Coturnix japonica: one gene and its partner. The protein of the gene in region 2 binds, or shares a complex with, the protein of the main gene of each other region. Links are inferred from orthologs where the notes say so. Each region holds a gene or a part of one and is shown on either strand. Other genes may lie near its edges. The genes, in order: EFCAB2 and DRC1.

What was found.
Region 1: DRC1 (region 2) and EFCAB2 share a complex: the UniProt entries of both Homo sapiens proteins name them as parts of the nexin-dynein regulatory complex. The link is inferred for Coturnix japonica from reciprocal best matches to the Homo sapiens genes DRC1 and DRC8.

The regions. Positions count from the first base shown.
Region 1 is NC_029518.1:31,162,254-31,166,067, forward strand, and holds part of EFCAB2 (dynein regulatory complex protein 8), read right to left. Parts: intron 2,237-3,814; coding exon 2,164-2,236; intron 277-2,163; coding exon 197-276; intron 1-196. UniProt on the Homo sapiens protein: Component of the nexin-dynein regulatory complex (N-DRC), a key regulator of ciliary/flagellar motility which maintains the alignment and integrity of the distal axoneme and regulates microtubule sliding in motile axonemes.
Region 2 is NC_029518.1:96,153,715-96,158,025, reverse strand, and holds the start of DRC1 (dynein regulatory complex protein 1), read right to left. Parts: upstream 2,858-4,311; 5' UTR 2,814-2,857; coding exon 2,641-2,813; intron 2,239-2,640; coding exon 2,145-2,238; intron 1,618-2,144; coding exon 1,505-1,617; intron 470-1,504; coding exon 286-469; intron 1-285. UniProt on the Homo sapiens protein: Component of the nexin-dynein regulatory complex (N-DRC) a key regulator of ciliary/flagellar motility which maintains the alignment and integrity of the distal axoneme and regulates microtubule sliding in motile axonemes.

The DNA of each region.
Region 1 (3,814 bases), about 65 Mb from region 2:
TCATTATTATAAGCTGATATTATTTGTACCAATAGTACAATGCAATTTTATGTAGACTACATCATTTTGAACTAAAATCTCCCTACCTACCTTAAATTTTTTAAAAATCTGTGTTCCTTCAAGTTACATAAAATTACTGCAGATACAATCATTCAGAATCAACCATGCAAAAAATTAAAGACCCAGTTTACATTACCTTCTGTTGAGTAATACTTTTGTCATCACTGGAAGAAATTTTCCTAGATTAATATATCCAGTTGGTTCTTCTTCTTCTACCTAAAAATAAGACTTAAGCATGGTAAGTTATATGAATCATTAGCAAACTAACAGAAGAATCAGAAAATTGAGGTAAGTCCTGCAATAAAATTACAGATTTAGACTTCAAGTGAAGTTTTCAATATGAAATTTTTTAATGTTACATGGCACCAGAACATATGCCTGAAATGCTTATGTTCAAATAGAAAGAAATTAAAGGAAGAAATAATCTCCCAGACAAAACACATGCCTGCTACTTCAGAAACTTACAACAACTCAATATTGCCCTCTTGTGCTTAGAAACCAATTGTGCAAAAGAACTGGACACTAACTCAGCAGAGGTTGAAAAATGCAGACTGCAGTTATATTAGTGGAGGTGGGTATGACCTGAAGCACCCCTAGGTTGTGCAACATAATCATCCATCACAACACACTATCAGCACATTCCCCAGTGTGGTTTTGGCCTGTGCCATCAAACCTTTTACCCAACAGCTACCAGGTCCAGTTTGGGCATTGGGACTGTAGAAACTTCTCCCCAGCAGCCATTTTGTACAGCCACCCAATATAAAACATTAACCAGCATATGCATAGGCTGCTCTGTGACAGCTGGCTTCAATATCCAAGGACATGTTTAATTTGCTAATTTGGACACAGCCCCGGCCTAGTACTTCTCAAGGATGGAATCTGTTGCCACCACATGTTTTGTAGCCAGTGAGGGTTCATGAAGAGAAGGTCCAGAGAAGCAGACAGACGAAGTCAGGGCAGTCTCAAACAGTCATAAGGCAGTCCATATATTACTGCCTCTCAAATAAATTAACAGATTAGTCCCCAAACATCACAGACTTCTAGTAGCATTCACATAGCATTCCTACATGATAAAAGACTGCTCCCTACAACTTGGATGCATCTCTTCCCTAAAAGTTGAAACTTTTATCCCCAAACAGAGCTCTTAATGGAGATAGTTTGCTCCTGTCTGTGTTGACACTGAATGCTTGAACTGTTGTCTCACAGTCACATCCTGCCAGAACCATCATAGACACAGCTCTAGAAGCATCCATTCCTATAAGTTATACTACTTTTCAAAAACAATGTGAATTCTTTTTCCCACTTCTTTGCCCCATGCAATAATCCCACCCTGCCACGGCACCATCACTCCTGCCTTTCCATTACAAGTATGTGTTGAGGAGATAAAAATTACAGCATGGGAAAAAACTGTACAGAAAGACAGTAGAACTTCCTTACCTCTCCACATCACTGGGAGGACATCTAAGTCCTGGGAGTCTTTATGTTTGAATTCTGACTTGCAGGCTTAAGTAACCAAGCAAGAAAAGATTACTTAACTGAGAAATCTCAAGACTGGGATAGGCCTCGGAAGGACAGAAAATTGAGCAGGCTGGCTCTAAGATGTAGTGGTAACAGAATCTATTGGAAAAAAACTGCCATGTCTTTTCTCTGCATATTTTTGGATTTTTATGTATAATTTTAATACCTGTTCAAGGATAAGTTTTGTTATTTAGTCATCCAGTGTTTGTCTATGGCATGTCCAGAGCAGCTAGATGTCTAGGGTTTGGGTGTCCAATCTAATTGCAGTTTAGGGAAATCTTTTTCATCAGTCAAAAACATTTTATCCCTCCATTTTCTACAGACAGTCCTCCACCATGGCTGTGTCACAGTGGCCTTTTGTGGTAAATGACAGTCAGACTCCCCATTTTAAGCCATCGGTGTTGTTCCCTCAACAGCATAAAGGTTTGTTTCATGGCAACTTGAGAGACTGCCTAGCTCACTTCCCTGACACAACGTCTTTTCACCTGCAGGAAAAGAACTTAGCTTTCTCATATAGCAAGGCAGAAGGGTCAAACTTGTACAAGTTCAAGACAGAAGATAATAGAAAATACGTAAATCCTTTACCTCTGCAAGCAGTTTACGTAGCTCTGCCTCAGTTGGGAAGCAACCTAAAGATCTCACAAGTGCACCAATCTCTCTGAAAGAAAGTAAAACAACTGTGTCACTGATTCTGCAATACAAGAGTGGCTGCAGAGAACATAACCATCAGTTCAGAGCTCGCATATAGGAGCATGCATGTATACAGATATGTTATTATGTATAAGTATACATATACCCCATATACTAATGTAAAAGTACCCCACCTGCATAAGTATATCTATATAGACTTTTAAGGTAATTACTCAGTAAGCAATGCCTACTTTTACAGACATCAAATATCTTGAAGCTTTTTGAAGAGTATAATTGTACCTGTGGGTTTCCCAAGAATTCCCTATTGCTCGTGTCCATTACTGAGTGCAAGTTAATTTTCAATTGATTTCCTGTAGTTATTAGGCTTAACTGCAATAAAGTCTACATTTACATAGTTAAAAAAAACACCTTGAAATCTATTGATGTGAAAGGTGACAAAAATATAGGTTTGTTTTAAATGCAATAAAGATACAAATTCTAACTGCAGAAGACAACAAATACAAAAGTGAGGTGGCCCTGCCGCATTCTTCCTGCCAGATGGATAATTCTATTTTCCTCCTGACTATAATTTAGTTCAGCAGCTTCAGTTTCTGCTGTGTAGTGTCCAGCATACAAACATGACAGTTCAAATTAGCTCCTGTTCGTATACATTTTGTAAGTCAGACACAATGACAACTGTGTCACGGTTTTCATCTTAGATAAGATATTCTCAGTGACAACATTTGCAAAATCATGGACATCACTGACATAGGATATATTCTAAGCAGGGGATTCTATGAAACACTATCTTCCTCAGGCTTAATTTCTTACTAATTCTTGTATTTGCATTACAAGTTACCCAGCACTCATGTTATCCTATTAAGCCAGTGTAGCTTTCTGTATCCTTCGCATTTATCTGTTATTTCAGGAAACAACACTCATGCTTCTACAATCATGGCTAAGAATTGTGCTGTGCTGCCACCTTCTGATATAAGATAACCAGACGTTAATAGTCATATTACTGTGACACAGCCCTGCAACACAAACGCAGGACAATAAACAAGGCAATAAATTGTTTTTCACTATTGTAACTGTTCTTTGATTAAAATTAGTTGTAAAACAGTTCATTTACAGTGTTACATAGACTTTGAATGCCCTTTCTCACATGTTATAACTTACTGGCTGAATGAAAACATTAAAAAGACAGTTCTATTTGTATCATTTAATTGTTGTAACGTTCTTCTCAAGCTCTATATCCATCGCAGAACTTAGTGAAGAGATAGAAACTTTACATCTATGCAGACAAGACTGCAGATGTAAACAACAAACAAACAAACAAGTATGGCATGGTACAGTGAAGGTCAGGGGTTCCTCAGTGCCACCAAACCAGCCAGGAACAGGCAGCTCAGGGGATAGCAGGGCAGCCCCAGCTCTGGGCACTGATCATCTCCCTGGATGGAGATAAACCAATAGACTTAAGGAAATAATCTTAAAAGAAAAAAGAAAAAACTTGACAGAGGATGAAATAGAATTGAACCAGATGTGGAGACTTGTCCTGAAATTCCCCCTACCTACTAAAACTGAAAAGTCATTTCACATGCGAGTT
Region 2 (4,311 bases):
CCACCAAAGGTCGGTCATAGCTGGTAAGAAGATAGAGTGGAAGGTGAAACATCTGCAATAGGCCACTCCTGCTGCTGAGGGCCAAGGAACCTGCTCTGGAGAAGACTTGCTTCCCTTTAGGAAAACAATCCCCTTCTTGTCCTGGACCAACTGACACTGCATGCATCCCAGCCATGTGCTGGGGCCTCGGTGGGCCAGGGGGATGGCTGTTGCTTTAGAACAGCACCCTCCAAAGCTTGAAAACTCCAGTCCTCCCTGGTTACCTCCGCATGGCTCCCACACTACCTGCTGCAGTTCACCAATGAGCTTGTTCTTCTCATCCAGAAGCTGCGTGCACAGCTGCTGCTGTTGGTTCAGCAGCTGCCACAGATCCTGAGGGATTGTCATATCTTTGGCCAAGGCCCACTTCGAGGTGATCTCCTCAAACTTTTCAGCACTGTACTTGGCTACATTCTCCAGCTTCTCCACCCTGTGGGCAGTAGAAGAAGGTAAACCATCGCAGGGCAACAAGTGGTTCAGTGGCCTACACCACATACAAAGCCACAGGAACATTCTCCTGAATAACTTAGCTTGAAAAGTGGCATCAAGATGAGGCAGCAGGTGGGAGGTGACACAACTCCCAGCTACACAGCCCAACCCTGGAGAATCAAAGGGAGTGCTTTCCCTTTGTCACATGCAGCTGGACTGAGTTTCTCCCACACACATTCCACCACTGCCTCTCTGAAACCTTCCTTATGGGCTGTTTATGGGCTTAAAATATCCAGATCCTTATAGATAGGCTTAATAGAAAATATTCTGAGCAAGGAACTGATGCCTTGCTCCAGCCAGCCTCCCACAAACTGTTCCTACAGTGCCCTCCAAAGGCAATTAAGAGAAAGGACTCGGTGTTCCTCAACTGATCTGTGCAGGCAAGGCTGAAACAGCCAGACCCTTAGAGATCCCTCTGGTGGGGCAGGACAGGTTACCCAAGGCAGCCATAGAGAGACTGGAGAATAACTGAGGCTGGAAGAGCCTCAGAAAAACACTGGGTCCTGGTTAATGTAGGATTAACCAGGCAGAGCAGATGGTGCAGGGCCTCATTCAGGCAAGTGCTGAGTTGGAATATCCCTACATCACGATGGGCCCCCGAGCAAGCATCTAACCACCCTCACCATGAAGACATTTATATCCACTTCCTCACATCAGCACAGCCTCACATTTTTCTCAGTCCTCATACACAACTGCCTGGTGTGGGTGGCCCTGCACCTACTCATGCTATAGCTAATAACTACACTCACTGCTAAAAACACTCTGTAAAGATCCACCTGTGGCAGGTTGGACCTGGGAGCTCTTGGTGTCCTTTGGCAATTAACTGCAGTGCAACCCTAACTTTTAAGTGTATGTGGATGCTCAGAGTTAGGATGCTTTGCATGTAATGCAGCCATCTCGGGATGTGCTCAGAGAGCTGCACAAACATCTGCGTCTCTCCTTTCCAGCAGAGCAAACCCACACCACAGTCTCTTACCTCTGTTTCTTCAGCTCTGCCTGTTCTGCTCTCCTCTGTGTTTCCCTCAAGTCAGTAGCCACCTGGATTTCTGTCACCATCCGTATGCCTTCAAAGAGCAGCTTGGCCAACTTCTGTGAAGGAGATGATACACATACCTGTAAACTTCAACTCTGGAGGGAGAGATACTGGAGCTGCTCTCATGCTGTCAAGGCTCCAGATCATATCCCCACACTGTGAAACCTATGTAGACCCATAAGCTCCATCTTCTCATGTTCTAGCAGGGTTTGAGGAGCACTGGGAAGACCTCAGTGCACCCATGAATCCTCCTTCACTTGGAGAGCCCTGAAGGCCAGCAGCACAAAGAGGAACTGGCCCGTGCTCAGTGCACATTTCTGTTTTGCTTCCCCTATATTTGGACAGTGGGATATGAGTCTGGATGCACAGCTCCTATCTCAGAACCCTCCAATCCATGGGCATTTTGCTACAGGGAAATCTTGTCTTCAATCTATAGCCCATGAGTCTCCTCCCACTTGGTCCTACAGAGCTTCTGCCACTGTGTCCTTTCTCATACAGGCTGCTGGGTGACACTGAGTACTGCATGAAGCCAAATGCCTGCAGCTTAGGGATCCAAGAGGACCTTCCTGTCTTACTGTCATACCTGCCGGATTTCCTCCACCTCCTTGTGGCTGTTTCTCTCCTCTTCCACATCCTCATCCTCCTCCTTTGGTTCCTCATCTTCTCCAAGCTCTTGCCTGGGCAGCAAAGGGAAAAAAGACAGAATCATTTGCACTTCTATCTCCCTAAAGTTGCGAGATAACCTTGCAAAGCTTGTGACTCCATCCCAGCATAGAGAGAATGATTCAGCAGCCTCAATGTGCCCCGAGAAGTGCAGAAAAGAAGAGGAACTCATCCAAGAATGGTGGATTCCAGCACCATTGGCCATTCCCATTGGGATGGGGGACAGGCCTGGCCTTCATACAGTGCTGATGGGATGGGGGACAGGCCTGGCCTTCATACAGTGCTGATGGGATGGGGGACAGGCCTGGCCCATGGGGGTGTGGGTACAAGGCAGCAAAGGCAGCAAGGGCCTGGATAGGGGACAGAAGGGATCAGGCATAAGATTAGGCCTCGCAATGGCCGCCCCCTCTTCTCACCGCCGTTGGGCCTCGAGGCGGGCGGCGATGCGGAGACGGCGAGCGGCGATCCGCTCCTCGGGGCCAGGTTCGGTCGGATCCGGTTCCGAGTCCGGGTTCGGGTCCGTTTCAGGGGCCGATACCGGCTCCTTCCACCTCGACCCCGCCGATCGCTCACCCCCTTCGCGGCTCATATGCGAAAACGCGTTGCCTGGCGACGCAACTACTGCGCACGCGTAGTGGCACGGCGCTGCTGTTTTGCCTAGCAACAAGGATGCGGCGCATGCGCAGTAGCTGCGCATCCCCATAGAGACCCCATAGATCCCCATAGAGACCCCATAGACCCCATAGACCCCATAGAGACCCCATAGACCCCATAGAACCCCACAGAGACCCCATAGACCCCATAGACCCCATAGAGACCGCATAGACCCCATAGATCCCCCATAGACCCCATAGACCCCATAGATCCCCATAGAGACCGCATAGACCCCATAGATCCCCATAGAGACCGCATAGACCCCATAGATCCCCATAGATCAGACCCCAAAGATCAGTTGCCCATGGCCCGTCCAACCTGGCCTTGAACACCCAAGGACGGGCATCCACAACCTCCTGGGCAGCCTGTTCCAGGCCTAACCACTCTCCTAGTGAAGAACTTCCCCCTAACATCCAACCTAAATCTTCCCTCTTTTAACTTAAAACCATTTCCCCGTGTCCTGCTATTGTCAGCCCTTTCCAAGAGTTTACTCCCCTCCTGGCAGTAAGTTCCCTTCAGGTACTGAAAAGGCTGCAATGAGGTCACCCCGCAACCTTCTCTTCTCCAGGCTGAACAAACCCAACTCCTCAGCCTGTCCTCATGGGGAGGTGCTCAGCCCCCTGATCATCTTCCTGTCCCTCCTCTGGCCCCTTTCCAAATCTCCATGTCTTTTTGTACTGAGGCTCCACACCTGGACAAGTACTCCAAATGGGCCTCACAAGAGAAGATAGAGAGGGACGATCACCTCCCTATCCCTGCTGACCACCCTCTCCTGATGGAGCCCAGGATCCCATTTTGCTTTCCGGGCTGCCAGAGCGCACTGCTGGCTCATGTTGAGTCTCTCATCCATCCATCCCCCAGGTCCTTCTCAGCTGAGCTGCTCTCAAGGACCACTCCTCCCAGCCTGTACAGGTGCCTGGGGTTCTTCCGGCCCAAGTGCAAAACCTTGCACTTTGCCGTGTTGAACCTCATATAGGTTCACCCGAGCCCAGCTTTCCAGCCTGTCAAGGTCCTCTGCTGAGCATCTGTTCCCTCCACCGTATCGACGCGCACCACTCGACTTGGTGTCGTCAGCAAACTTGCTGAGGGTGCACTCCATTCCCTCATCGATGTTCATTAATAAAGATGTTGAAGAGCACCGGCCCAAGACAGACCCTTGGGGGACACGCCGTTACCTTTGAGGCCTCCACCTGAATAGATCCATTGACCACACCCTCTGTCTGCGGCTTTCAACCATTGCTTATCCATCTAGTTGTCCACCATCAAATCCACTTCCCTCCAATTTGGAGATGAGGATGTGGTGGGGACCATGTCAAAGGCCTTGCTCAGTCCAGGTAAATGACATTGTCGCCTTCTCTTCGTCACCAACGCCGTCACTCCATCATAGAAGGCCACAAATTAGTTAAGCAGACCTTTCCCCTGGTGAAGCATGC